Linked DNA regions of Caenorhabditis elegans. The protein of the gene in region 2 interacts with the protein of the main gene of each other region in a pairwise test. Each region holds a gene or a part of one and is shown on either strand. Other genes may lie near its edges. The genes, in order: chtb-1, gla-3, T27A8.2 and lsy-2.

Region 1 (9,651 bases), on a different chromosome or scaffold from region 2:
GCTCAGAGACTCTAGATGGGATTCTGGAAGTCTATAAGTCTAAGCTTCTAGGCAAATAGGAAAATGGTGAAGCTATGGATCGGCTTGTTAAGGACTAGAAGTCTATATAGAGCATGCAAAAGGGGACAGATTTGCCAGTTGACGAGCTGGATAGAATTCAACATGCGATTCCTTACACTTTCGTCTAACGCATGCGATTCCTTGCGTGTAGGCGATCGGAGAGCACTGGCAAACTCCAGCGTGGCACATTGAAAGCCCCTCGGCTTGTCCGACGCACTCGCCGTCAAGCTGACAACGGGCGCCGATGGGTCGCGGCGCTATAAGAGAAGATGATGTGTCTTCGTGATTTTTTAAATTTCACGAAACTTACACATCGACAATGATCCGAATCGATTGTTGTTGTTGATGTTGAAACCATTGTTGTTACCCGGGAATGATGGGAATGTCTGTGGTTGACCTGGTGGACAGCAGAGATTTAATGAAGAAACACATTCATATCCAGTTCCACATGATCCATTTGGGAAGCATCCGGAGACGGCGGTGTCACCGGATGGACATTTGCCTGTAAAGGGGAAGATGAGAAAGATTCAGTGGGGAAGATGCATGCAAACTAGTACTTTGAAGAAGTCCGGCTGGCTTGTTCGATGATGGAGAGCAACATTTGCCATTCTGACACTCGAGTCCAATTCCACAAAGACCGTTCATGCACGGACCGGATGAGAGTGAACCATCAGAGCACGAAGAGGATGGTCCGCCGAAGCGAGCTGAAGAAGAAGAGGTGGAAAAGGGAGGATACCAGGGAGATTTTTTTCAAAGTAAGAAATTCACGCCACACGTTGATCAGAAAAACAAGGCATACTTACGAGGCATATAACTGTGAAGTGGACGTCCATAGTTTGGCTTTTGAGCCATTTGTCGAGAGTTACCAATACGAAGACGGCTGAAAGTAGTGGTAGAACAACAGATTCCGGCGTTCGTGAAGCAAGTGTATCCAGTTGGGCAGGTTCCGGCGTCTGTTGCTGTGTCGCAGTCTCCGATTTGATTAGCAGTGAGGCAAAGTCCGGTGGCTAAAGTTTTCATAATTAATGAAGGTGAAATCATATAATGTTCAAAACTGTTCATATAATTTTGATTGAATAACTTACTACACTGAAGATCGATACAAGTTCCTGGATTGACGCCGTTGGTGATGAGTGGACTGTTTGGAATGTAGACAACGACGTATCCTGGTGGGCAGAGTCCATCAATAGCTGGTCCGACTTGGCATGACTCATCAGTATATCTGACAACTGGGCAGCAGTTAACTTGGTTGGAATCGCAAGCGTATCCGGCTGGGCATCCTCCGTTGAATCCAGTTCCTGTGCATGGGCCAATGGAAATCTCATCGGTACAGGTGACACTTGCTGGGCAGCAGACTCCGTTGGTAAGGGAGTATCCGTCGATACAAACTCCGTTGACAGAGGGAAGACCAGTTGATCCATCAGTACAGGTGGCAGAGCAGCAAAGGTTTCCTTGAACGGTGTATCCAGTTGGGCAAAGTCCATTGATGGTTGGGCCGAGAACTTCTCCTCCATTTGGACAACTGTTGATGGGGCAGCAAATGTTTCCGGTGGTGCAAGTGTATCCAGATCCGCAATAGTATGAGACTTGAACTCCTCCGCATCCATCTCCGGTGCATGATGGAATGCAAGCTCCGACGGCGTCAGATCCGTCAAGACATTTGACAGTGGTTGATGTTCCGGCGCAGCAAAGTCCATTGGAGCAAGTGTATCCAGTTCCGCATTGTCCGTTCACACATCCTCCAGCAGCTTGGGTTCCATCAGGGCAGACTGGAAAGTTCGAAGATTAGAATGTAAAGTCTACATTAAAAATTACCGAATGGGTTAGTGGTGGTGGTCTGTGGGCAGCAAACGTTGTTGCTACAGGTGTATCCACTAGCGCATCTTCCAGACATGCAGGCTCCAACAGCGTTTCCTCCAGATGGGCAGGTGTCTAGAATAAGATTCATTTGAATAAATACCTATATCGATAAACTATAAAACTTACAGACAGAGATTCTTGGAGCAGAGTTGTATGATGGGCAGCATTGGTTTTGGATGCAACTGTATCCAGTGGCACAATATCCAGAGCTGCATCCTCCGACAGAGTATCCACCTCCTGGGCATGAGTTTTGTGCTGAAATATCAGAAATAAGTTCAGCGTTCAAATTTTCAGAGTACTCACGGATAGTGATGATTTGTGGGGCATTCTGGCATCCGACGCAGTTGCTGGATCCTCCGCCCACTGAAAAGTTAAATATAAATATCTGACTGTACATACAATTTGTTAGAAAAATGTTTTATTACTGCATCCACATGAGTAAGACGAAAATCGTGCAGGATCTGAATCTGGGAAGTTTGCTGAAGCTTCCATCTCATTTTCATCTTGTTTTTGCTTTCTTCTCTTCGTTTTTCTCTTTTTTGGGTTCTTAGGATCAGTGAGTGGTAGTAAAAGCGGACAGCAGAGGTTAATAGCGGTATCACAGTGCAATCCAGCTGGACATTCTGAACCAACAGAGCAGATCAAGGAAGACTGGAAACCTCCGGCACAAGAAACTGTAAAAGACATCTGGAAGGTGCAAGTGATGTTAGAAGGTGCTCACCACCATCTCCTTGAGCTCTTATCAGAACTTCATCCAAGTTGGATAAATGTTCAGGGAACCCATAGCCAGGAGGTCCGATTGGAAAATCATTTTGAAGAAGTGGATCAGAGAGGGGATCCACGTCTTTCTTTTTGGGTTTTCTGTGCTTTTTACTAGAGTTAGACTTTTTCGTATTATTTTTGGTTTTTGTGGTTTCTGGTTGTGACGGGTTAGTTGTGCTGTTGGTGTCAGAATCTGAATTATGGAAGTGTGCTGGTTGTGGGAAGTGATCAAAAATGATTGAAAATACTTACCAATAATAGCTGAGCCAGAGTTGGATCCACTGGAGCAACAGTATCCGTTGTTGCAAGTTCCGACGGAGCATGGGTTGGAGTTGGAGCAGCTAGAGAATGTGCACACGAGTCCGCTGGCTTGTTGACCTGTACATAAATATTACAAATGTAAATTGAGATTATTGGAGTATGGATTTTCATAATGAAGAATGTTAGAAGTAAGTATTCATGCGAAGGTTTAATGTGGTTAGTTATGTTATTTAATTGAATATGTCGGTGTACACGTGTTTGTCAAAGAGATTGGGATTGAAGCATTGTATCTGGATCTGAAATACATAAAGTTTGAATTAAGTTCATTTTCTTTGAACCTCACCTTTTAGGTATTAGCTAATTGACAGCATCTACCCCGTTGATTACAGAAATAGGGAGATGGACACTGCAAACTGTATCGGCAGGAAGTTCCGAATCTTGGATCAACTTCAACAGATCCTATGGGGCATTCTGAGGAAACCTCAGCTGTTACACTTCCTTCGACGACAAGTCCTGGAAATCATTAGTTCAATTAAGTTTGGGATGCCATGTTTCTTACCAGGACTATAACAGCATGCAAAATGTTCCTTATTGAGTAAAGTACATTTGTGAGATGATGATGGGCAGTGATCATGATTACTAGCAGACTGACATGAAGTTTCAGGAACCGTCCCGTCTGGGCAATGAATGTTCAGTTTGCAGCATTTGCCCGACAGTGAGCAAGTGAAATCGGGAGGGCACAGAGTATGTAAATCACATCTTTGCGTGGATAAACATTTCTAAAAAATAACATTGAATATTTTACCACCTCGAGTAGAAACTTACATTTTTGTTAATCGATACACCACTGGTTTTGTCAACTTTCTTCCAAACTTTTGTTGCTGTTGAGATTATTTCTTCTTTTATAATTACAGGCGTGGTTTCTCCGACACTATCGGAAGTGGAATCCGCAGATTCTGAGAGGAACGGACAACATTTCCCATATTCACATCTAGAAGCAATTGGACAATCATCTGATAGAGAACAATGAACTGGAATCGAAAGAGCCATCAATCCATTTCCACATCGTGCCTTTGGTGGTTGCTTACAGCATATTCCATCTACACATTCTGACATCTCTGGGCATATAATATCGATATCACATTTTTTAACTCTGGTATCCACTTCACAGTCTCCAATTATCAGTTTTTCTGTCTCTTTGGTGTGCTCGTTGTCTTTGCTCATTGTCAAAACTTGTGATTTTATCACAGCTAATTCGATAGTTTTTGGGCAGCATCCTCCAAAAAAGCAATGTTCATTTGCTCTACAGTGATATTGAGTTTTACATGTGAATTTGACGGCTGTTAGACTTCTCGGACATACAGCCAATTTACAACAACCTTGATAACATTTGAAGGTTGTTGGACAATCTTCATCAGAAGTACAATTCGCATTTGTTCCTCCACATGTTGCAGATGATGATGATGCTCCGCCTATAAAAGTACAGTTGATGAAATGAGGTGGTTAGCTAATGCGCGTGCTTCTCATTAGGCTCCTATTTACTTTGTAAACAGTGGTGGAAACGGAGAGCGCTCTTTCCGAAATACTTTAAAGTGACCACAAACAGATGAGAAAAGGAAGGAAGAAAAGTGAACGCACCTAATGAATTGACCTCGTCCGTGTTACTACTCAAACATCGAAGTTTTGGAGGTTCAGTGGTTCTTGTCGGAGTTGGTGTGATTCCTGGAGCCATAATTTCATCTAGTCGCTGCGGTTTTTGAGTTGGGAGTGATTCGATTGCAGCACTATCAAAAATATCATTATCCACTTCAAATATTGTATTTGTTGCCTCTACAGTTGCATATCGATATACTTTTGGATGTCGTAGTAGTTTTCTTTCTTCACAGCAGTTATTCTGGCATGTCATTCCTTTTGGACACGATTCATCGATTGTGCAGACCGTCGAACATCCAATTGATGATTGCAATGCAGTTGAAGGGCAACACACTTTTTGTGCGGTACAAAAATGTCCCTTGGGACAAGAGTACGGATCCCGAGTACATGTATTATTAGGAGGAGAACCATCAGAACACAAATCTAATGGAAAGTTAGAGATCATAGGCGGGAAAAGTGTGATTAGAACCTACTTGAAGTTGTTAAAGGGATACAGTTACCATTGCGGCAAGCTGATCCCAGTGGGCATTTCGAGCAGGGATTTTCAGTGTTAGATGGGGAAGATGTTGATGCTGTTTAAGCAATTAGTGAAATAATATGTGGTTAATCATAAAAACAACTTACGGGAGAGAGAGCTCATTCTCTTTGGAACGATACAAGTTTGTTGCTCAAAGTTGAACAAGAAGTTCTCTTGGCACGACTTGCGGACCCATCGGAGAGTGCTGGAATTGAACATTTTGTTTTTTATTATGCAACGGTTTCCTACGTTTGGTCACATTGAAGGTAGGAAGATGGGAAGTCGTTATGAGCCTGAAGACAGGTGGCTGAAACGGCACAGACCTCGCTCTCGCGGGCTCCATTGTCTTGTTCTGAAAATATTTTATTGATCGATTTAGAATAATAAGATGAAATTTCAGTTTTAAACCAAATCCCCGATCTCATTAAGTTATCCCTTCTGTCTTTTCTCGCTGGGGTTCTTAAAAACAAAACACTTTTCCTCGGTAGGTCGCGGCGGCGACTGGTGAGCTCTGCGAGCTGCGTATCCCTTCCTCCAACACTCTCTTATCAACCTTCTGACCTATTTGTTGAACCCCCTCTTGGTCACGCGCCGGCGACTCTCAACGCACTGTGCGCAAGTGAGTGGTGGACAAAAGCCGGCGGAGCAAGCAGGAATTGCAAGACACCGCAAGTTGCGTTTTTTTCTTCATTCCCATCAAGAGGATTTAGGTCATTTGCGTTCATTAGAGTGGTCAAATAATGGAATTGTGAAACAAAGGATCCCAGACAAAAGTGGCGCATTTTCCTCGAATTTCCTCGAAAAGATGATGAAATTTGGTCACAAGAAATGTAGTGAATCTAGTTTTGGAATTCGTTGGCAAAATATCTACACACTATTTGTGATGTTTGTGTGTTTGTATGTGTGTGTTTTATTTTTTGGAATGAATTGAATTGAGTGAGAGGAAAAGGAAAAGAATTAAATGTAAACACACAAATACACAAGAAACACTGTCAGAAGCATAAGCAAATATGGCTTGGAGATGTCGGACTTCCACTTTTTTCTACTTTTCTTTCTTCTACAATTTCCTAGATACCTTATCGCTCGTAACAGTTCATTTCAACTTATTGTTGACCACTGTGGTTGATGTTTATTTGCGGTCAGAAGTGGGCTCGCTCATTAGTTGACTTAAGAGCTTCCACCGATTTAAAATAGAGGAATAAATGTTGGTGATGAAGAAGAATAAGAAGTCTAAGAAACTCACCACAAATGTTCGGGGAAGCTGGTTTACGAGCTTTTGGATGTTGTTGTGGCTGTGTATTTTCAGCTGGAACAGATGGTACTGATGAAGGAGCGGCGGCGGCTCTCGACTTCACAACCCAGACACCTTCACCTTCGGCACTACTAAAAGAATGAAAGATTTTCAGTTGTTTTGGTTGAATGAAACTCACTCAGCTGTCGTCTCGCACTTGAGGAAAAACTGTGTCTGTTTTCCTCCAATTTGAACATCAGCAGTTCCAAGTTTACACGTTCCGCCAATTACAGGCGTCTGTCCATGTCCAGAAGCGACTGTAAATTAAAATTGGTTTGAGAAATGATAAGAAAAATGAATGGGAAATTATTATTATTTAAATTCTCAAAATACAGTGATATTTCAGGCCTAGATTTTCAGACAAATTCTTGCAATCTAGTAGTTGAATAGTAAACTATAAGATGGAATAAGTTTGATAAGTTTTATGTATAAACCCATTTAAATTCAAGATCAAATTTAGACTATTCAGAAACTTTTTTGCCTCTGAAAATATATGGAAAAATATAGATTTTCAAGAGAGAGTATTTAATTTTAGAGCTAACATTTTTCAAAAATAAACAGAATCTAGAATGTATTATATAAAATTTGAAAGAAAGCTTACCGAGGAGGGTGATTAAAATGAGATTGCGCAGCATTATGTGTATACTGCTTTGTGATTATATGATAAATGGAAGAAGGTGGTCGATTCAGATGGAAAACAAAGCTGCTATCTTCTTCTTCTTCTTTTGGTGGACTCGACAACAATTGCCACGCTGGAAAATTTGAACACTGATAAAGTGATAAAAGGCTGTGATGGGGTGGGAGATAAGGGGAGGAGACAACGGAGCAACAAGAAGACGGAATTTGAAAATAATGGTATTGTGGGTGGGGGTTAAGATGTGAAATGTGTCTTCTCTCCGATGGTGAGGTAGAGAACGAATGAAGCAGGTAGGGTGAGAGCTAGAGGATAGGAAGCTTCCGAGGGGTTGGGGAGGTTTGTATGCGAAACGCGCCGCCCTCTCCGTCTTCTTCGTTTCTATCTTTCGTCTCTTCTCCTCTCCGCGTATACTGTACCGGTGCGGAGATTCGCACACGACGCTTGAGAAGGTGGCGAAGACGGAGAGAGGTCAGTACTCTTTCTCTGTCTCTTTCTACATCAAGTCGGCCGAAAATAGAAGCTCGGCGCTTATGAGCACGAGAATAGAAGGCGCGCGCGAGGTCGCGGTCTCTCTTGCGAAAAAGTACTATTGTTTCCTTTTTTAGGGTTATTTGGGGGAGCAACACTAAGGCGTCTCAGATGAGGTAAAACCGCCGCCAGGAAACACTGGATCAAGTTTTTTGGGGGTTGAGCAACTTCTTGGCAAGAAAAGAGTCGACGAGTTCAACTTGACCAGCGCGGACGAATTCCGGGCACGGATGAAAGAGGACAAATAATCGGAAGTGATGATGAGGGTGGCGTAATTTTATAGTTGATTTCACAAGAATTTTATGATTATGATGGAAGTGATTGACCTACAGTAGTCTTACAGTACAGTACAGTAGTCTACAGTAGTCTTGACATCTGTTCTTGAAAACATATAGTTTTGAAGACTTAAAACATCCACCATCCATGTATCGAATAATATGTAGCTAATGTTTCAAAATGATATGATGTTTTCCGGAACTACTGCATATTTCCATAACATTGAAGGACGCGCGATGCACACATTTCCAACAAAAATCGAGCACCAAGCGCCCACCGCGACTCGTATACTGTTGCAAAGTGCACATTCGGTTTCGATTCGACCGAGTCATTGTAATTTAACTGTTCTGCCACTTGTAGTCATTGCCACTTTTAAGTGAAATTGAGACCCTCCAAATCCAAATTCCCGGACATAAAAAACAACGCGCATTTTTGTAAGATCTCGTGTAATTCAAAACTCCATTATTCTAAGTGCGCAATGCACGCAATTAGTGAGACACCTCTAGTCAAATACGATGCGATGTTGGTCAGGCAATTTGAACTGGACAGGGCAGCTAATATATTATGGACTGTGAAAATTTATTCTCAGTTTTTTTTAATTTCAAGCCTTTTAATTTGAATCTATTACTGCTTCACAACGATTTTTGTTTTTGGATTATCCGTTGGCAGCGCATTCCGATTTTGAAATTTCCGTGCTATTGATGAAGCCAAAAATTTAAGCCGCTTTTGATAAGTAACTGTAAAAATTCAATTGAGTTAATGCAAATTCGGTAACTTATGTTTTAGCGTTTTTCGCTCAACTGATAATAAGATAATGTTGTTTTTAAAACTTCCAGCGTACATTAAAAAGAAATGGAAAATAATTTCCATGCATATCATTGCTAATTTCTTTACCGGTCTCTTTTTGCAAAAGTACAAGACCATTTAATTTCTCGATGGCATCCAGTTCGTTCCTTGCGTAACTGGCCATATTCATATGTAATTGAATGAAATCTCACTTTTCATTCAAAACCATCTTCCGAATCCGGAGAGACTTGTCTTCTTTTTTGTTCTTTTTTCGCACCTAGAAAAGACACGGAAGCAAAAAAAAACATCATGGCGTAGACAAGCTGTCAAGCGCATCTTTTTGCAACACTATATCACGAAAGAGATTGCTCGTGCCACTGTTTGTTGTCCTCGCGGAGTCTCTACGACAAAACTTGTCATTTTTTATCAGATTTTGGTGCTGCTGGTGGTGGGAGAGAAATAGTGTTGAGGAATTTGGGTTTGTGTTCGTAGGAAAAAGATCACAAGGGCGGCGGCGGGTTGTGTCTCCTTCATCTCACGACAAGACGGGACCCCGAATTTGACAAAAAAAACCGCGGCGGATACCAGGCTCGGCCAGGCGGTCGAGTGATAAGTATGTTCATGTTATGTTTACAAAGTGGTATTTCCCTAAAACATGTTACTTTGAAATCAAAAGATAATATCTACATAATATCAATTTCCGATTTTTCTGAACAAACCTTGAAACTTTATGATTAGAAACTTATAGAGACTTATAGACAACAGAGATTTTATCGGTTGACAACTTTTATTCAAAGTAAAAGCCGACCAAGATATTAAACTTATGTTCCAGCTTCAAAGTGCGTTGCTAGAAACTATGTTAACGCAGGCACCAAAACAATAGCCGCGCCTGCCTGAAACCGCGAGCCTCCTGCTTTGCTTGGGACCCGAAAAGTGTAGGTTGCCTTGAAAGAACCAACTATTGCACGTGGTGCAAACACCAGGAATTTCATGTCATGCCAGAGAATAGTTCAGACAGGT
Region 2 (7,244 bases):
TTTTTAATTTTGAAATGTAAGTTTTTGAATAAGTAAGTGTATTTTATCGAGAAATTTTTAAAAAACGATAAAAATTCCGCAGCAACGAAAAGTTGAATTTACAGTACTCGTTTAAGGCGCGCACCTTTCTGCAAAAAAAAAACAAGAAAAATCGCATTAAGGAATTTTCTCAAAATATCAGAGTACGGTAGCATCAATGTTACGGTCGCCTCGAGACCCGATACCGTACTTTCTCACCAAAAAACCACAATTACTTGCATTTGGAGTAATTTAAATCTGTGTGTTCGGAATGTTGAAATGAAGAATCACACAAATAGAATTTATGATTGAATTTTTAAGAAGTGTAAGAAAACTCGTTTTTTTTCGAAATGAAAAAGGGAGGAGAACATGAGATTCTGCAACAAAAAAACAAAGAATTGTTTTCGATTCTTTCGATTTTTTACCAAGATCTTCAAGTTTTTAAATTTATTTTTTAAATCGAACTTCATTTTTTTGTTTAAAAAAGTTATTACCGATTCAATCAATTTTGTGATTTATTCTCCAAATGTACGGTACCGGGTCTCGACACGACCCATTCCTGTTAAATGCGAAAAGGTGTGCGCCTTTAAAGAGTACTGTAATTTGAAAATTTCGTTGCCAATGGATTTTCAGTCCTGCTTTTTTTGTTTTGTTACTTTTTAAATAAATAAATTTTTTTAATCGAAAAATTATGAAAAATCAATGACAATTCTGCAAAAACACGAAAGTTTGAAACTACAGTTCCCTCTAAAGGAGCACAAACATTTGTATTTTACATTTGAAAAGGCGTCTCGAGACCGGTTACCGTATTTTTGGCTCAAAAATCGCAACATTGCGCGTATGGGTAATAATTTACTTTTTTTCAGTGCATTTCTTCGACCAAAACTATGAATCAAAAACTTCAAAATTCTGTATTCTCGGCTCCACTCTACCTTCTATCTAATTCTCTTCATTTCCAACACTATTTCTCCATCTCTTATCAAAATGTTTACAGAACATGGTCTATTCACTGATAAAATGTTGAATGATAAGAGAAAAAGCGTGTACAGTCAACAAAAACTCTTCATTATATGATTTCTCAATCTTGATTCTTTTTTTTTGTATTCTAGCTTTTTTCCAGAAACTTTTCAAGAAAACCAATACGTTTTAATTTTTGGTTTAAAAATTCCCTCAATTTTCCGATTTTGTAGATGCAGGATATTCTAGAAAGTGTTGTGGTGACTCTACATGCCATATGTCTTCTTATTATCTCCACAATTAGAAATTGCTTCCCAATGGGATGGCTACTACGAAAAGACGTTCGAGGTATCGGATCACGTACACAAGGAAATAATATTAAAAGTTTCAGGACAAACTGTGCTGATCACTGGCTCCGGAAGTGGATTAGGCCGATTGATGGCCTTCGAGTTCGGAAAACTCGGTGCAAGATTAGTGTTATGGGATATAAACGAGCAAGGAAACAAAGAAACACTCAAAGAATTGGAAGCGATGGGAGTTGAGGTTTGGACTTGCAACATTTTTCACATTTATAGATTTATTAGATGAATGTTCGCTAAAACTTACTACAACTACAGCTAACTATTACTATTACAAAGCTAGTGTCAAGAGCGGCGCGGGCTCGTTAGAAATAATGAAAACAAGTGTAAATGGAACAAAAAGTGAAGAAAAATACAAAATTTAAATTATGAATATCGTACTTTTGTGGATGGTATCCGTATCACTTGAGGAAAACAAGATTATGTGGGTGGGAAAAAGCTGGAAGTATCCATATCCTCTACAAGAAACCCTAAATACATACAAAAAACTAAAGAAGAGCTGCGAGTAGAACAAAAATTACGATGAAAAAGGACAAAATGATAAAGTATAAAATTTAGAAACTGAATTGGGTGAGAAATGAGAAAATGATTACAATAATGGGCTTTAAAATCATCGCTGGTCCTCCTAAATCGAGTGACTCTGATGACAGGCGTCACCGAAGGGGCACGATCCGGTGGCTGCAAAAAAATCGCAAGGTTCCAGGAATGAAGGCGTCTGGCCGGCCGATGATGACGGAGTGAAAAGGCTTTTCGATCCTGAGCCGTCTAAAAAATAGCCGATATATTGGAGGTTCTACTCAAATACTAAAAAAAATTTTACCGTAGTTTGGTGTCTTTTCATCTACGAAAAAGAACATTGGAGAGCAGGTCATCTTGCTTGATGTTGTAGTTGAACATTCGGAAGATTGCAGTGGCTCCTTGAGAGTTTCGGCGATTTTTAGAGTATCAAAATCGAACATAGAACACTTTGGTTTTTCGGTTGCTACTTGATCGAGCAGATTCTCGTTGCTCAATAGTTCCATCAAAGACATCACGACAGGACTTGAGCTTTCGCTGGAGCTTAGTTTATCTGAAATTGATGGATATTCAGAACTATAAATTTTTATAGAAATTTTTCGAGTAAATTAACCAATAAACATACCATCTCGATCGCCTTGTCTCACAAAATCATTAGCCATCATCATTTCCTCGTCTGTAATTGGATACTTGTCTGATCGAAGAGCATCCATTTTTGTGAGCAGACTTGCCGCAGAACTCGATTCGTTGATCGTCGCAGCTCCGCGAGTTCGTGTCATGGCTCCGGACTGTTTTTTCGGCTTCGGCTCGAGCCAAATCGAAAACGAGTCATCAGGTGGGAGCAAGGACTCCGAGATCTCCGGTGGTGAGAGAAGAGCCGCAAACGGATGTTGAGGTCCCTGTTGATGCGAATAACGGTATTGCTGAGCAGCATGATGCAGATATTGCTGATGCTGGTGTAGCTGATGTTGTGACTGATGATGATGATGGATTGGATGTTGATGTGGGGGACGATGACGTCCTGGCATGAAATTTGATAAACGATTTCCAGTTCCATGGTAATGACAGTCCGAAGTATTTGGTTCTAAAATGTATGCAATAGTTCGATCAATTTTCCTATTTATTTGGTTGATTTCAATCTTACCGTTTCCTGCAAGTCGTGGATGGTATGGTGGGGTCATAGGAGCATTGAAGTGATGACCATTACTCATTTGATCACTCTGAACAAAAATTGTTTGAATTTTTTTAAATCTAAAAGAAATTGTGAAAAAAGAAAAACCTGAGACACCACTCACCGAAGTTTGCCTAGACACGTCACGCTCGTTGATATATCCTCGCTCTATCATAAAACGAAGGTAGTTCAAATCTTTCATTTTCAGTTTAGACAAAAGTCGATCCATTTCCGAATTTTTCTGTTGAGTCGGTTGACGATCATTGGGTCCAACTCTCTGTCCGCCTATCTCTATGTCCTTCTGACGTTGATAGATTTCACCAGCAACATTCCAAATCGCTTGTTGAAATTGCGGAGGGGGACCGCCGACCTCTCGTGAAGTACGAACATTGGATCTTGATCTTTGGTGCTGTGGTGGGATATGGTATGCTCCAGATCCCAAACGATTCGGATCTTGACCAGGGATGTTGACTGGCCCTGTAACAATGAATTTTGATTTAAAAAATCTCTGAAGAAAAACTTGTCGTAATTTCACTAGAATTTGACATGTTTTCTTGAAGGCGCACGGATTCATTCAGGGTCTCGACGTATAAAAAGTTTATGATAGTCTTTTTTAATTTATACTCCAAAAACTGATTTAAACTAATTTTAGCAAAAAAAATGAATAGAAAACGATAAAGATTGATAAAAACTAAGTCATTGTTTTGAAAAATTCAAGAAAACGAGAAATCAGCCGCAACAATTCAAAAAGACTACCATAAAAATTTCAGCGGGCTGAGACTCATTTCATTAAATTCGAGAAAACCTCGTGAAATCTCTATACCTCCAAATTGTTGAGAAGGAACCCCTTGCGTAGCACGATTCGAGGAACGTTGATGGTGTCCATGAGATGGAAATCCAGCTGAGAACATTGACTGTTGCGGGTATGGGAACGGATTCGGAGACTGAAAACAAGTTGTTCAGTTTCAACCGAAAGTTATTCTTGAAGTTACAAAACTAACCAAAAATCCGTAATCGTCAATATCATCGTCACGAGAACATATTTCATGCTTCTTTTCCTGTTCTTGCTCGACACCGTTTTTAGATAATGATGAAATCGCATCCTTCTCTGCAGCTGAGCTGGTTGGTGGTGGTACAGCTCCAATTGACATGGAAATCCATCTTTCCTGAGCTGGAGATAACGGCATCGAAGAGTTTTGTTCTTTGAAGGCAGTATTCGATGGAATATTCACTGTTAATCCTTTGACGTTGGTTGATGCACGCTTTGTCGGCGACTTTTGAATTTCAGCAGTAGCCGGTCGCTCATTCTCTTCTTCGTTCGAACGATCAATCCGGACCTGAAAAACCAGATTTCTTTGATGTTTCCTACGCTGCTTAACTGACCACTTTACGAAGATCGTCTTCACCGTGAGCATACCAGCACGCGTCGCCATACGAACAGCTGCCCGAGCGTCGCCAGTGATCGCAAATCTTTGTCTGAAACTACAAGGAATGAGTAGATCTTAATTAAAATATTGAAGTGTTAAGAAATTAAAACGTTTTTCCAAAAATAGAACCTTCCTTAATGCGGGGTTATGCTCTCGATTGGAGGTAAAATTTTGATGTTGCCAAAAACATTGAGAAGAATCTTGATACACCGTGTAGTTCCCTAGACTTTCTAAATTTCTGACTGGATCCATATCTGAGTTCAATAGAGGCTGAGGTTGAAAAGAAAACCCCTGAATTTTATTATAAACCAAAAATACACTTTTTCCGAAAATTACCGGCGGAGCAGGAGTAAGTCGACTTTTTAACAAAGATGGTTGATAAAGCATGGTTGGGTGAGTAGGATGGAGAAAATAAAATGTTTTATTAAACACTAATTTCTAGTTATTTTTTTAGCTTTAGTTTTTTCCTCTACCCCCTTCTGCTCTAGTTTCTCACGAACTACCGCTTTTCTGATCTTACTTTCGGTTTTGGGCCGTTTGGTTTATTGCCGTTGGTGCTGTTTGTAAGCGCATCACGGGGATCTATGACGACGCTGAAAATTTTGTTTTTAGCAATTAGTTATTCATACGAAGAATATACCTTATTTCCTGAGTTTTTGACGCAGAGCTACTCATCTATTTACAGAAAAATACGATTTAGAATCTGAAAATGGCTTTTTTAAAAATATTTTACTCAAAAATGGGAAACAAAGAGAAGTTGAATAAATTTAGGTAAGCAAATGAGAAAAAGTACAAATTCAAATGACACGCTAAACAACGCGCGATCGTCATTTCGGAGTGTCGTTGTGCGTTTCTCTGCGTCTCTGCGATTTGTATACTGTTTCATTTCTATATCTTTCAGGCTAAAGCATACACAGTGGACCTATCGGAATACAAAGAAATCAATAGAACCGCCGATTTGGTTAAAAGTGAAGTAGGGAAAGTAGATATTCTCGTGAACAACGCTGGAATTGTGACGGGTAAGTACAGTCGGCTGAAAACATCCAAACTTCTGAAAAATTCATGTACAATACAAAAACACAGTAAATAATAATTTTGTTCCTTATAGAGTTAATTTTTTCCTGTAGAAGACACGAGACCCGAAGAACTCGGGGGATGTCCAATTGGGGGGATTACCAACTCGGGGATTGGCCCCGCCCACAGAACCGTGGCTTGCAATACGCCCATTTCTGCAACTGCCGCACGGTTTTGAAACTGTATTTTTCTTGTTAAATCTCGCTCTATTGAGAAAAATACAGTTTCGAAACCGTGCGGCAGTTGCAGAAATGGGCGTATTGCAAGCCACGGTTCTGTGGGCGGGGCCAATCCCCGAGTTGGTAATCCCCCCAATTGGACATCCCCCGAGTTCTTCGGGTCTCGAAGACACAATGAAGAGTCGCAATACACATGGTATTAATTAAATGAATTTGAATGGCGCGGCGGGACCCACTGGCAAAAAAGCACATCCCTTGCTAATTGCATACTGTAGAGATTTAGAAACATACGAAGTTTAGCGTATTACATATTTTTCATTTTAAGCGAAATATGCCAGATAAAGAGAGAAAACAAAAATCAATAAAATAAATAAAATGATAAGACTTTCGAAAAGGTTCAGTGAACCCATTGTTACTTCACACAAAAATTACAGTAGTAATTTGAAGAATTACTGTAGTTTTCGCTACGAGATATTTTGCGCGTCTGATATGTTGCGCAATACGCATTCTCAGAAATTAGTATTCCCATAATATCTTTTCATAAAAACATTTCAAGGAAAAAAGTTGCTGCAATGTCCAGATGAGCTGATGGTCAAGACTGTTTCAGTTAACACAAATGCTTTGTTCTTTGTAAGATATGACTTTTGTTGAAAAGAGAATACCGAAATTTTCCAGACTACCAAAAATTTCCTTCCCGGCATGCTCGAGTCGAATAAAGGGCATATTGTAACAATTGCTTCAATGGCTGGAAAGTGTGGTGTTGCTGGATTGGTAAGTGATTTAAAACAAAATGTTGACCGCGCCACGAAAAGTTAAAGGGTTTAAGTTAGTCTACACAAAAGGTCGAAAAAAACTTGTGTGTAGATAGGTACGTAGGCATCCCTGTGCCTACATTGTTTTTTTAGATTACATGGTGTTTCATACGTTTCGTTGGGAGGCCAAATATTCTGCAAATAAAGACATTTAAAATTAAAAAGCTTTCAGGTAGATTACTGTGCATCCAAACACGGAGCTGTTGGTTTTAATGACTCTCTTGCGTCTGAGTTGTACGCATTAAAAAAGGATGTGAAGACTACTGTAGTCTGCCCAATTTATATAAATACTGGAATGTTCGATGGAATTGCCACAAAATGGCCAACACTTCTTCCAATTCTTTCACCAGAATATGTTGTCGATTGCATAATGGAGGCAGTTCTCACCGACAGAGCATTCCTTGCAATTCCAAAGTTTAGCTACATTTTTATTGCACTTGCAGGGTAAGTTCCTATTGAATTTCAGATTTATGTTAAACGTACTTATGATTTTTCAGACTTCTTCCAACTGAAGTTCTCAACTTATACGGGGATCATTTTGGAATCACTCATTCTATGGATCATTTCAAGGGACGCCAGTCACGCCAGGCTTAAATTTTGTTGTGTTATTTTTTTCATTTTTAAAATATTTATTTGATAATGAACTAGAGATCATCCTTGAGGGCGTAGTGAGAAAAACACGTGTCCAGCCGATAGAATCAGCATCACCGGCATTCCAGATACCAAGACAA
Region 3 (5,427 bases), on a different chromosome or scaffold from region 2:
ATACATCCTGTTCATCTGTTTCCGAAATCATTAAAAAGTTTGAAAACTTTTCATCGATGGTATGACTTGTGTAAATTTACATTACATGCAATCCAGTTTGATTTCAGAACACGTCAAATTTGTTCGGCGGGAAAAAATGATTTGGCTTCACACACACACACACACACACATTGCTTTATATTGTTTCGCTAGCTTTCACAGACTATCTTTTTGCTACACTCCTTGTCTTGTTTAACCGGTTTTAATAAACACAATTTAGCATTTCAAAATATTGCTTTTTTTCTAAATTTTAACGGGTAAAAACGAGCACCATCTTATCCGATTTTTACCCCTGGCCATATGGACAACCCCCCACAGCGACCATATTGATTATCCACAGAATGTGCAACTCCCTGCGGCAAATTTGAAAAAAAAAAACGAGTCATGGCACTTTATATTTAAAAGTCAGATGCCCCTTCCCATATCTGTGACCGCCTAAAAGCGAATTTAGCAGCAGGGAGGATGGCTACCTGCGCGAGTGGCCACAAAAATTGTTTTTAAAAGATTTTTGATCTAAATTAAAGTTTGAAGGTGGACTAGCTAGTGGTTTCAAACTTAAATCCGACTCGGACTTGAACTTATCTCAAATAACTTTTGAAATAGATATCTGAAACAATGCAATTCAGTTTTGATGACAGCTCAGTATCGAAAAAAAAACAGAGTTTTGCTAAAACCTCAAGTCATATTAATTTGTCTGTGTTGCAGCTGTTGGAAATTATTTTGCAAATTGTCCGCCGTGCTACGGCACTTTTATAAATGGTGCCAGTCTCACTTTTTTATTCGATGACTTTATTTTTTGCGCCCCATCTTTTCTCAACCAAAAGGGGTGTACCAAAAGTACCTGTTGTCAATTGGATTTATTGATATATTATGATACTTCGTTATAGATCATCTTCTTGTGGGACACCCTGATATGGGACCATTTACCATTTTCACAGTTAATAATGTTTAACGTGGTTTACAAATAGAATTTGACGATTTATTTTTTTTTTTGGCAAAAGTCCCAATTTCTGCTAGATTGAAAATTGAACAATTTGAAGCTGCCCATTGAAATCAGTGCAAAATTCTGATATTAGAAATATATACTTTACCCACATTTAGTGTTCATTTTTCAGCACAAATTGCGCCATTCTACGCCACCGCGCCACGTTTTCATGGCGCCAACTCAACGCAATCAGTGACTCATCCTGAGCTGGCAACATGGTCAAGTGTGGTAAAGCACTCGACCGTGGAGTCAACAGTCGAGGGTTCAATCCCCTCACCGAACCAAGGTGGTTCTGAGTTGCTCACATGCTCAGATAAGTGGAAGTTCGGAAGATTGATGATCAAAAAGGTGGTGTTGAATCTTATTGTTTCATTCAACATTGACAAAAGATCGAAAAATGTTTTTTTCATTTTCATAGAATTGTCTTCAACTAGGCTTATACTCTTTTCACTCTCTTTTTCTGCTTTAGTTTCCCACAGCGTTTGTCAGAAATAACAAAGTTTGTATGATTTTTTTCCAATTTTTCCGGAAGAAATTTATGTTGGTAGGAATGTTTTGAACTGGAAACTTTTTTATATACAGAATTGGTTCAATAAAATCTAAAAAGTGAATAAGTTGAATTAATGTATAAATGAAATATTTTTATGAAAAACTTGTCAAGAGATCACCCGGTTGAGGACATCGAATACATCCGTCCAGCAAGATCCGTCTGCAAAACAATTTTTAATATAATATGACTGAAATTTCCATGGCAACATACCATTTCCACCTGATGCTCCACATATTGCTTCAACTCGTCTATATCCTTTCGAAACTCCTCCTCAACATCCAGAATATCCTTGTTGCCGTCTTCATAAGCCCATAGTCCAGATCTCACGTCTCTGCAAATTGAAAGTATAAAAAAACATATACGAATAGTTTTTGGAGTTATTTCTTAAGTTTTTTTTGGAGTTATTCTTAAGTAAGTGCTAGTGATTAAATTTAGCAAAATTTATAAACCAAAAAAATACAGTTTTTATGAGTATTCACATATTTTTGTTTTTCCAAAAAACTGATAAAAAGAAATTTTGGTGAAATTTTTGGAGAAATTGTGGGGTTCTTATCAGGGCTGTGCGGCAACCGGCAATTGCCGAAGTTGCCAAACCCAAAAAATTTTGGCAACCGGCAAATTTTGGTTGCCGAAATTTCGGCAAATTTTTGGCAACCGGCAACTTGGTTGCCGGTTGCCGCACAGTTCTGGTTCTTATGTCTAAATTATATGAACAGCAATTGTATGATTTGGCTATATAACTTGTTATCTGATATTTTTTAGCAGAACTTTATTTTTATTTTTTGTTGTAATTACATTCTGGATTTACTTGAATTTGTTGAAAATTATATGAAAACCAATTTTTAAACGCTACACGCAAATCTGACAACAAAATTCAGTTTCCGATAATATTTGAAAAAGAATTTGAAATGTTTCAAATTTTTGTTAAAAATATTTCTACAAACTTCACAAAACTCACCTTTCTCGACGAAAGCACAGTTCGGTGTCCAGAACCCAGGCCACATGATTAACAAACTCCCATTTGTACATATCGTGAAACACTTTGTAATACGGGAACAAGTCGGTGATCCACTTGACAACTACTTCAATCTCCGGAAACACGTCATCCGCTTCTTCCATCGCAGCACTGACCAGGGCGACCATTTTGAACTTGGGCATCGCCATTTCCGGATGATGAAGCCCCATAATTTGGTTCATTTCGTGAGTGAAATACGTCATGGTAGCTGAAAATGAAAATTTACTTAGTTAGTTGAAGGTTCTCAAATTTATTTGCCACGTACATAATAAAGGAAATACAGAAATGTCTTGTTTTTTTGGATCTTATATTGCGGCAACTTGCCGAGTGGGAAAAAATTTAAATCGTGCAGACGTCAGATTCAGTTAGGCGAAAATTACATGAAAAATAACAAAAAAAAAACCACAAAAAAGTATAGCTGTGGATATGAGAGAATGGCACATTCAAATGTCAGCAAACGGCCATAAACCATCGATCGATAATAGTGTGCGGAAGACGAGGGCAGACCTGTCGCGCGACTCACGCATTGCAGGCAACACCAACTTGTCGTAGGTCAAATCTTGACACGACAACGAACTCGTAATGACCAAATCAAAAGGAAACAAAAAAATTGAAAAAAAATTGAATTTCGAAATTATGAAAAGTTTGAGTCGGCTATATCTGAGCATAGTTGAAGGTTTTATAAAATTGATGATTGTAAAGATGAAAAAAAACTTTAATTGAAGATGGACAACGGCCTGTGGGAAAAGATTAAAACTCGTTCACATTAAAATTTAAAAATGTCCAAATATCATAATAAAAATATTCAAAAAAAAAGTTACCTTCAGTTTTAAATTTGACTCACGTTTCCAGTAATCCTATTTTAATATTGTTGGGATTCAAACAAGCAACAGTGTTTTGGTTTCTCCAAAATTGGCGCACGATCAGACCCGAAATAAAAAAAAATTCCACAAATTTTTAAAAGATCCATTATAATATTTAGTCATTTCCTAACTGTTAGAAGGATTGTTAAAGCTAAACAATTCATAAAAATTTCCATAAAAGTTATTCATAGAAAAACATGGAAAAACAGAAAATTTTCACAAAAATATTAAAATGAAATTTTTTCCAGAAATAAGCAGAACAACAACGGCATATCTTGCAGCAAAAAGAAATGCCGCACTACTAACAAGGAAAGAAAGCAAATCTAGTTCCGGACTATGAATCTTTGAATTTCCTGCCAAAATGTTTTTTTTTCTCAGGAAATTTGAGTTTCTCGCCTAAATTTTTTCTTAGAAAATTTGAATGTCCCGCCAATAACTATGGGACTCCCCCCGGTAATCCAAATATAGGCGCAAAAAACAAAAATGAAAATTTTCAAAGTTTAGAAGAATTCCTATGGTATTCGACAGAAGTTTTTTCACAAAAATTTTGGAATTTTGGTAGGGTTTCCATAGATTTGGATTCTAAATTTTTTAAAAGATTATGGATAAGTTTCTGGACCTACAAGTTATATTCTAGCCGCGCTAGAGGGGTTTTTGTCTTCAATTCATTTTTTTACATACATATGATTGCACTTTTTTGCAAAAAAAAAATTTTGGAATTTTAGGAGAATTTCTATGAAAATGGATTGCTAATTTTTTTTAGTATTACGTTTCTGGGTCAAGAAATTCGTTTTTGGTCGCGCTATAGGGGTTTTTGTCTTGAATTCCAATTTCAACAGGTTTCCTCAATATCAACAATTTCAACAGGCACAAAAAAACAAAAATAAAAATTTTGGAATTTTGGGAGAATTTCTATGAAAATGGATTGCTAATTTTTTTAAAAGTATTATGGGTACGTTTCTGGGTCAAGAAATTCGTTTTTGTTCGCGCTACAGGGGTTTTTGTCTTGTATTCCAATTTCAACAGGTATTTACAGGCACAAAAAACAAAAATAAAAATTTCGGAATTTTGGGAGAATTTCTATGAAAATGGATTGCTAATTTTTTTTTTAGTATTATGGGTTCGTTTCTGGGTCAAGAAATTCGTTTTTGGTCGCGCTACAGGGGTTTTTGTCTTCAATTCATTTTTTTACATACATATGACTGCACTTTTTTGCAAAAAAAAAATTTTGAAATTTTTGGAGAGTTTCTATGAGAATGGTTTGCTAATTTTTTTTTAGTATTATGGGTACGTTTCTGGGTCAAGAAATTCGTTTTTGGTCGCGCTACAGGGGTTTTTGGCTTGAATTCCAATTTCAACAGGTATATACAGGCACAAAAAAAACAAAAATAAAAATTTCGGAATTTTGGGAGAATTTTTTTAAAAATGGTTGCTAATTTTTTTTTAGTATTATGGGTACGTTTCTGGGTCAAGAAATTCGTTTTTGGTCGCGCTACAGGAGTTTTTGTCTTCAGTTCAAAACATTCCTACCAACATAAATTTCTTCCGGAAAAATTGGAAAAAAATCATACAAACTTTGTTATTTCTGACAAACGCTGTGGGAAACTAAAGCAGAAAAAGAGAGTGAAAAGAGTATAAGCCTAGTTGAAGACAATTCTATGAAAATGAAAAAAACATTTTTCGATCTTTTGTCAATGTTGAATGAAACAATAAGATTCAACACCACCTTTTTGATCATCAATCTTCCGAACTTCCACTTATCTGAGCATGTGAGCAACTCAGAACCACCTTGGTTCGGTGAGGGGATTGAACCCTCACAGGTGATTCGCGGCTCATGCGTGGCGCGTCTCACACGCTTCGCTCACGCGTCTGAGAGGACCAAGCGAAGACGCGCGTCACGCATGCGTCAGGCGCGCGTAGCGAAAGCAAGCATGCTTCACGCGTGCATTGCGAAAGGAAGCATGCTTCACGCGTG
Region 4 (7,999 bases), on a different chromosome or scaffold from region 2:
ACCTCCTCCTCCAGCGATGTCTCCTTTTCTTGATGGGCATGGGCAATAGGCAGCATCTTCTCCAGAAGCTCCGGCGGATCCTGGAAGACCTGGGAATCCATCTGGTCCCTTCTCTCCTTGTGGTCCTTGTGGTCCAGTCTCTCCCTGTGCTCCAGCTGAACCATCCTCTCCACGCTCTCCTGGAAGACCCTCGTCTCCTGCAAGACCATCCATTCCAGTCGGTCCTTTTGGTCCTGGTGCTCCTTTAGCAAATCCTTTTCCGTCAGCTCCACTGGTTCCTTTCTCTCCTGCTGGTCCCATTGGTCCTGGATGCCCATGGTCTCCTTCTGGTCCATCATCTCCTGGTGCACCATCGCGGCCTGCGTTTCCTGGAGCTCCTTTATCTCCCTTCTCACCACGTGGTCCACGTTTTCCTTTGTATCCAGCAACACCTGGTGGTCCTGCTGGGCAAGCAGTGCAAAGATCTCCAGCTTGGCTTGCAGTCTGCTCATTGCTTCCATCAGCTCCATCTTTTCCTGGAGTTCCATCGGTTCCGTCGGTTCCTGGCTCTCCGGCTGATCCTGATTCACCCTTTGGTCCTGCTGGGCAAGAGTCGTCAATTTTCACAGGGCTGGCTTCGGGTGCTGTAGCGGCAGGAGATCCCTCACCAGCAGCTCCTCCTTCCTTGTCTAAATTTTCATTTGTCAAATATTTTCAGATAACGTTAACATCTGCACTTACATGTTTGTCTTGCAACTCTGCGGTGGCTTTCATTCGTAACAAGCTCCTTCCAGAGCACATTCGAAGTCTCTTCAAAACCAGTTTTTGCAGTTTCCAGTTGAGCAGTCATGTCTCCCATAGTATAGAAAAGGACAGGAGTAGCAGTTACCATAATCAAGAAAGCACTTCCAGAAAGAATGACTGCAAATGAGACAGTCGACGAAGACGACTCCATAGTTTTGTAACTCATTGCTCGAAACAAACAATGGAGAAAAACTTGGTTGATGAATGTTGTACCCCACTACCGTCTTATATACAACATGTGTTATCTAAAACTCTGATCGGTATGTTCCGGAAGTTGTCCTACTCCTTCCCAATCTTCACTTCAAACCACTTTCATTTGTATTATCTGATCCTTGCTACCGCTTCAACAAGTTTTTGCATTTGCATATTCTGGATACCAGGCTATTCATTCCATTTTGTTTCAAACGTATCAAAATTTTATTATTCACTCCATAAATTGAATTATGACACTTCATATTAATCGAACACCTATACAATCGGCTCAAAAGAGAAGAATATATAAAAATAGACGAAATCAGGCAACGGGAAAAAAAGGTAAAACAAACAAAGACTACTACAACGACTATACAAACTCCTCAATAGGTTATACATTAGGTTATAATAATAAAAAACAACGGATTACAAATGGAAATAAGGAGCAAGATATCGCTGGTGTAGATCAATGCCAACAATGATAAACGGCATGCTTACAATTTTGGAAAAAAAAATGATTGAAAGAGCAAGTCTGTCTGTCAATGGGTAGGAAATCTTCAAAAAATACTAATCCCCGAGGTAAGAAAAGAACCAAAAAAACAAGAAGAAAAAAGTACCCCGTTTTGAAAAAGGTGAATAAGAGAAGTTGAAAGAAATGTCATCGAAGGCGTCAAAAATGGGTAAGTGCGCAAGCTGAATTACTCTATCTAAGCAACAATAATAATAATCAATTTCAAATCAACTGTGGTTCCATCATCTGCTGGCCAAAGTTTGCGCCAAACAGCATTTGAAACTCGTCATTCGTTGGTACCAAAATTTCCGGATCTGCTGGCTGAGGCTGAAAAAAAAGTGAGCTTTAGTTATTTGTTCAAATATTAACTTTTGTAAACGTACAACAATTTCTCCAGTTTCAATCAAACTGCTAACTCGCGTGTGGTAGCTCATGTGCTGATTGTAGCTGGCCTCGTCAGCAAATGGTCTATAGCATTTCTGAAAAAATATATATTGTATCGTAAATCCAACAATAATAACAAATTTTCAATCATCCCACAGACAGAAAACCACTCAAATTACAACGTTATAGAACTCACTTCGCAGAAAAATTCAAGACCCTCCCGATGATTTTCGTGTTCGAGTGTGTGATGGCTGACACAATCCATTCTGGTCATGAATTGAGACTTGCACACTGGACAATCATGGCTGAAATTAGGTAGGTTTAATGAAAATTTTAATTTAAACTGTGTAATGTGTTCTCTTCTATTATAATAGTTCTATTAGTTCTATTAGTAATGCACTGCTCGATTTTGGGAGCTTACAACTCAGTTGGTTCAAAAAAATTCAATAAGTATACAAACCCAGGCATATATTAGGAAATGAATCGCACCATGGGTGTGCGGCAAATTCGGCAAATTTGCCATGGTTGTCATACTCAGTAAATCGCAATATTTTTCGAGCTCAAAGAGGGCCAAAATTGATTTAAAAAATAAACTACGTTTACTGGTTTTTGTTCGAATTTTGCCTAATGCGCGTGTGGATTTCTTCAATAAAAAATAAAAGAAACACGATGTTATGTTTACTTTCATTAGGTTTCTGTTCAAAACCATTAGTTTTGTACAAAATTTTTATAAAAATTGTTTCATGTGTGCGGCAAATTTCAGTATTTGCCGGGCTCGGCAGATTCGGCAAGTCTACATTTTTGAAATTTACGGAATTCGATGAATTCGGCAAATTCGGCAAATTTGCCGCACACCGAGCGCTTTTCAGATATTATACTTATACTCACTTTCAGTCCTACATTCACTTTTTGATGCTTTCTATGCTTTCAACAATCTTCCAGCCATTTTAAAACAAATTATAAAGTACGCTCTCTTTTAAGATAATAATTCAATCAAAATTTGACGAAATTTCGTAGCGAAACTGTTGCAAAAAATTTGAATTGATGTCAAATCTTTCTCAAACGCACGGAGAGCAGGTATGTATATAATATGTACCGTAATTCTGAGAATTCATGTGCTCAAACGGCATTTTCCACTCCGATTTCTTTTCAGTTCAAGGATAAATAAACTCACGTCTCGAATGCAATGGACTTTGCAATCTCGAAAAGGTTGCCCCAACGCTCAAGAGACATGTTGTTGAAGATAGTGTCTTCGAGACGTCTGATCTTGTCCTCAAGCTCAACTTGTGGCAGAAGATCTCCTCTTCTCAACTTGTCCACCCAGTGCTCTGGTTCTCCGAGTCCAAGCTTCCTGAAAAAAAACATTCGGTAATCTCACATTTTAATTGTGCATGCTGGATGTCTGCTTACTTCTTCTTCGGACGAGGCGGCGGCGTGTAGTACGGTCCTCCGGCTCCACGAAGTACGATGGCGTCGTCAGGGATGTCAGCAGGCGGCCGACGGTTGCTGAACCGAGATTTTGCCAATACTGGCGTTCCGTTTTTGTTAAGATCAAACCTGGCAAACGGCCTCCAGGCAGCTTCCAGCTCTTCCTTCGTCGTGACGTGTGTGCGAAGATGCTTCTTGAGGTTGCCTTTCAGTCTGAAAAAATTTAAAAAATTTGTTTGTTATTTCTCGTATCGCCTAAATAATTTTTGTTGATTATATTTTTGTGTTTTCTACCCGCAACATTTAGATTACTGTCACGAGTGCCGTTTTGAAATGAGTACGGCATGCATCTTATCTACGCCTTTTTCACCATTCTAACACTATTTCTCTTCGTTTTATCGATTGTTCTACAGTGTCGCCTATGGCATTACGGTGTCTCTCGTCCGTCTCTTTTTCTCTACCGTTTCTCGGCCCGTACACTGTACACACCGTACTGCGCATTAGCAGAGGAGAGTCGACTGTGAGAGAATGAGAATTAAGGGGAAACGGTCGTTTTCGCAACCCGCCACATTTTTATTACTGTACATTTGAAAGAGCACAGCGAATGTTGTTTAAAAAAACCACTAACCGACAAGTTTTTCCACAATATGGACAGGCGTGAGGAGTGAAGCCGGTATGGACTGAACGATGCTCAAACAAGTTCGACTTAAACCTAAATGATTTTGAACAAATATCACATCGGAAAGGCTTCTGATCTGTGTGTATCACTGCATGCTGCTGGAGACCTGAAAACAAAATCAGAGTTAGACAAAGCTACCGTATTTTTCAAAAAATTACCTTTATAGGAAACAAATATTTTGTTGCAAACATTACACTGGTGCACAGCTCGAGGGGTCATCATTCCTTCCACCATCTCATCTTCTTCAGGAAACCCCATTTGATACTGAAATTGATTATGATGCCCCTGAAATGGTTTCAGAATTTTTTTGAGTACCTGAGAATAATCCTGCTCATCCATCATCATTTCGGAGTCATCCATGTGTTGATTGTGGTGATAAACTGACTGATTCGACCCGTGAGTCATACTGGAACTGTTGAATTCAGAGAGGGACTGATCCGCAGAATTCCGTTGACTCTGAAAGTAGAGAACGTCTAAAAAAGTAGGGAATTTATAAAAGATTCGATAAATTGAAATTTGAAAGGAGTTTATAAAAGGAAAGGTTAAAGTACAGAAGCGAAATAAAAATGAAAACATGGGTTTCAAGAGATTTCAAAAAATTTTAGAAATTTTTTTTGAAATGATATCTAGTTACCTGCTTAGCATTTCTTCTGGTTAGCATGACAAAATTTGCCTCAGACAGCTTAAAAACAGCTCGAGACTGCTAGATATTGCGAAAGAAGCGTCGAATTCAAACTATTCACCTTGCCGCCAAGTGCAGAAAGGGTTATGGTATGAGAACGATACGGTAAGAAATGCGACCACTCGGAGGGGACGCGACGCGGCCGCAGCGCAACGAGAAAACGAGACGCAGGCGCGCAACAAACAACAAGGATAGTGAGCGAGAGGACAGAGGTCACCACCGTCGCTTGCTGTTCGTGGTTTTTACATCGTTTCTGATAACTCAGCAAGTGTAGAATTTAGAAAATAATGAGTTTTTTGTGTATTGCGAGTGTTTAGAAAATTAGATATAAAAAATTAAACTGTATTTTTATATTATTTCGTAATAATCGTCATTTTTTACAATTTTTTTTTCAAAATTATAAAGTGCAAATTAAAACATTTTCATTGCAATTTTTCGGAATTTTTAAAATTGTCTTTTTTTTCTAAATAAAATACAATTTTATGAAAAAAATTATTTTAGTTTTAGTCATGGTTTGGTCGAAAACACAAAACAGGTGCAAAAATAAGCAGATGCGTTTTCATAATCTCAGGTGGCCGAGAATTGAGAAATTGGTTGCTAATTTTTGGGCTATGGCAAGTCTTAAAAATAATTTGCATCAGAAATGTTTTATTGAAAGTAAAATTAAGATTTAATTATAAATAGAAGTTAGTGCTTGGAATAGTAAAAGTCAATCAAATTATACATGATCAATAATATTTTTCCTAACATAAAAGACATGTATAATATTGTCACAGCTGCTTTTGGAACTGAACAAAACCCAGCAAAAGACTTCAACGATTTTGGCAAATTGAAAAAAGTTAAATGAAAAAATAAAACCTTGAAATTTGAAATTGGAAATTTGAATGAAAATCGATCAGGACTCAGAAAATCGCATCTATTCGCTATGAACACTATTCGATATTCGTGCAACGCCGTAAGCCCCAGACGAAGAGCAGATGTGCATCTTGCCTGCTGCTCGCACGCATCCACGCTGGCTCACCGTGTAACTCCAAGTATATTGGGAGTTGTTGTTGTTGTTGTTGTTGTGGAGGCAGACGTGGTTGTTGTGGTGTCCATTTGGAATCGGAGCAGCAAACGGCGTGTGTTGTTCATGGAAATTGGACTGGTGCTGCGGATGGTGTAAATTCATCATTCTGAATTATAAAATTAAATGTTTTCGGGTTAATGAAATTGAAAAATAAATAAAATAAGTGTATATTAATTTCGAAAAAAAAGTGTGAAAACGGTTAATAGTAGTTTAATACAAAATTAAAAAGTTAGAGATCTCTTGAATTTTAAAGCTTTAGATTAAATTTAATAAGATTTATATATTTATTGATAATTTATTGACTACAAAGCAAGTTTGTTAACAAACACAACAAAACAAATAAAGATTGACATTTTGTGAAACCTATCAGCATTTATACTATTTATAAAAATACCAATAAGTAGTGTTATATAAATTAATTTACCAAAAATAACAAATTTTTTCCAAATGTTTTTTTAAACCTGAGGAGAAATTTGTGTCTTGTTCAGTTTATGTTCATAAGTTTCACAATTCTAATTGAAAAATCTTGAGAAGGGGAGTTTTGGTGAACTAAAATAAAACAAAACGTTTTTTTTTCAAAAATAATATATTAAGCCAGAAACTCGAAAAATTAGTCTTTACAATTAGTATCAAAATTTTAAGGATACCTAAAGTTTATAGTAAGATTCCTTCAAAGTGAAGTGTTCTAACAAGAGTGTGAAAACTTGTTCGACGTCTCAGAAAAGAAGTACAATCGCCAAGTTGTTCTGGGAAATTAGATTAAGAGAAACGAGCACAAGTTGAGAAACTCCCTCTACTCAGATACTCGGCGAAGAAAAAAAAACGTGAAAGATACTTTTACCATGAAGGGTGCCATCTTGACGAACATCTGCTGAACAGCCAGCTAGTTTCCGTTCTGAGCCCTCTAACATTTGTAGGGCAATACTTTTATTTGAAAAAAAGCAGCTCACACTTGCTTCATTCGACAGATTTTTGAAGTTTTGAGAACTTAACCGCTTCGTTATATTGGATCGAGACAAATGGGGAAAACGAAAAGGATTAAGACATCCTGGCTCTAGCTTCCTAAAAGTGCATGTTATTTTCAGTTACCTGGTGCGTGTGGAACGATGAGACTAAATCTCTCAACCTAGGGAAGTCGGTTCGATAAACATAGTTAGGGATGAGTAACGGTTTGGACGCCTTTTAACGTATAAATTGAATATGTGCTTAAATGATCGAATTTTGTAATTAAATTTTTTTTTAATCTACAAAATTTTATATGACGGTTCAAAATTTCGAAAAAAATTATCCAACTTTTTTTTTACTTTTCCGTGCCGCAGTGATTCAAAGTAGATTTGTTTTAATTATTGTCATTTTTTTTGCAAATTTTGGTAATTTACCTTATGTTGTTTTGTTGATTAAGGTATTTTTGGAAATTTTGAACCGCCATAAAAAACTTTTGAAACAATTTTGAGTCGTTTCATTAAAAAATTCGTTTATTTAAGCACATTTTGGGTCTATATGTTCAAAATCGTCCAAACCGGTACTTCTCCATTAAATTTTTATAGCCTTTAATATCAATTTTTTAAAGCAATGTTCAGAAAAAAACTGTTACTAATCTATGCACACTTTTTTACAATTTTCATATTAAAATATTTCAAATATATTATTCAGATTTCCAAGGCTTACATAATTTTTTTTATTCATTTTAGTTTGCTTTGAAAGCCAGAATACATTTCATTGTTTGAAATATTATTTCCAAGGTATAAATTTCCTCAGAAAAATTATAGTTTCTAAATTTTCACAGTTCTGCAGTTTTTCATAATACATATTTATTTTTTTAGCAAAGAATTATAAATACAAGTACTTAAATTACGCAAAAAAATTATTTTGGAAAATATAAGCAATAAAGAAGAAAACAAGTCTTTTACAAGTTACATTATGAAAACTATACATGTCGTAATATAAAGTCATGCGATTTTTCAGAAATTACCAGTAAATTATTCAACAACCAGATTGCTAGAAACTAAGAAAAAAGAACCCCCTGAAGAAGTCGGATTCAACTTTTTAGGCGGCTCTAGAAACTCATCCATAAAATGAGTGTCACTAATGGATATGGGAGTAATGTTTGATGATTTCTTTGGAGGTGGCTCTTTCTTTTCCACTTTATGTACTTTGTCATCTGGCGGTGTCTCTGGTTTCAAATCAGAAGTTGAGTGTGCATCCTCTTCACTGAAACTTTTAGTCTTGATTTTGAGTTTAAATTATTACAGTAAGATACTTAGAAATCAG

The links.
Region 1: the proteins of gla-3 (region 2) and chtb-1 interact in a two-hybrid assay, tested with the Caenorhabditis elegans proteins (one large-scale study listed by BioGRID).
Region 3: the proteins of gla-3 (region 2) and T27A8.2 interact in a two-hybrid assay, tested with the Caenorhabditis elegans proteins (one large-scale study listed by BioGRID).
Region 4: the proteins of gla-3 (region 2) and lsy-2 interact in a two-hybrid assay, tested with the Caenorhabditis elegans proteins (one large-scale study listed by BioGRID).

Annotation. Positions count from the first base shown.
Region 1 is NC_003281.10:9,348,307-9,357,957, forward strand, and holds the start of chtb-1 (Chitin binding domain (ChtBD2) containing chtb-1), read right to left. Parts: upstream 7,040-9,651; coding exon 7,006-7,039; intron 6,662-7,005; coding exon 6,544-6,661; intron 6,497-6,543; coding exon 6,357-6,496; intron 6,094-6,356; exon of another isoform or gene 5,914-6,093; intron 5,466-5,913; coding exon 5,363-5,465; intron 5,319-5,362; coding exon 5,221-5,318; intron 5,169-5,220; coding exon 5,070-5,168; intron 5,020-5,069; coding exon 4,582-5,019; intron 4,416-4,581; coding exon 3,769-4,415; intron 3,723-3,768; coding exon 3,503-3,722; intron 3,457-3,502; coding exon 3,319-3,456; intron 3,061-3,318; coding exon 2,935-3,060; intron 2,876-2,934; coding exon 2,642-2,875; intron 2,595-2,641; coding exon 2,346-2,594; intron 2,284-2,345; coding exon 2,224-2,283; intron 2,176-2,223; coding exon 2,047-2,175; intron 1,993-2,046; coding exon 1,876-1,992; intron 1,830-1,875; coding exon 1,146-1,829; intron 1,068-1,145; coding exon 864-1,067; intron 765-863; coding exon 618-764; and 6 more.
Region 2 is NC_003279.8:8,212,289-8,219,532, reverse strand, and holds gla-3 (C3H1-type domain-containing protein), read right to left. Parts: upstream 4,836-7,244; coding exon 4,785-4,835; intron 4,740-4,784; coding exon 4,578-4,739; intron 4,504-4,577; coding exon of another isoform or gene 4,498-4,503; coding exon 4,405-4,497; intron 4,359-4,404; coding exon 4,023-4,358; intron 3,966-4,022; coding exon 3,845-3,965; intron 3,499-3,844; coding exon 3,146-3,498; intron 3,071-3,145; coding exon 2,995-3,070; intron 2,935-2,994; coding exon 2,476-2,934; intron 2,404-2,475; coding exon 2,155-2,403; intron 2,100-2,154; coding exon 1,960-2,099; downstream 1-1,959. Other genes in the region: Protein dhs-3, read left to right, coding at 1,246-1,518, 5,350-5,467, 6,258-6,331, 6,377-6,472, 6,686-6,957, 7,011-7,107; T02E1.6 (uncharacterized protein), read right to left, coding at 7,165-7,244.
Region 3 is NC_003284.9:16,056,143-16,061,569, forward strand, and holds T27A8.2 (Fork-head domain-containing protein), read right to left. Parts: upstream 2,804-5,427; 5' UTR 2,793-2,803; coding exon 2,533-2,792; intron 1,906-2,532; coding exon 1,785-1,905; intron 1,734-1,784; coding exon 1,689-1,733; 3' UTR 1,534-1,688; downstream 1-1,533. Other genes in the region: T27A8.7 (uncharacterized protein), read left to right, coding at 1-59, 108-140.
Region 4 is NC_003284.9:2,086,439-2,094,437, reverse strand, and holds lsy-2 (Zinc finger protein lsy-2), read right to left. Parts: upstream 4,735-7,999; 5' UTR 4,639-4,734; coding exon 4,612-4,638; intron 4,434-4,611; coding exon 4,293-4,433; intron 4,242-4,292; coding exon 4,136-4,241; intron 4,084-4,135; coding exon 3,927-4,083; intron 3,512-3,926; coding exon 3,428-3,511; intron 3,377-3,427; coding exon 3,281-3,376; intron 3,222-3,280; coding exon 3,045-3,221; intron 2,176-3,044; coding exon 2,067-2,175; intron 1,966-2,066; coding exon 1,870-1,965; intron 1,814-1,869; coding exon 1,709-1,813; 3' UTR 1,185-1,708; downstream 1-1,184. Other genes in the region: col-164 (Nematode cuticle collagen N-terminal domain-containing protein), read right to left, coding at 1-668, 721-949; F49H12.2 (uncharacterized protein), read right to left, coding at 7,708-7,939, 7,989-7,999. UniProt on the Caenorhabditis elegans protein: Involved in transcriptional regulation. Required to specify left-right asymmetry of the ASE gustatory neurons, probably acting upstream of microRNA lsy-6.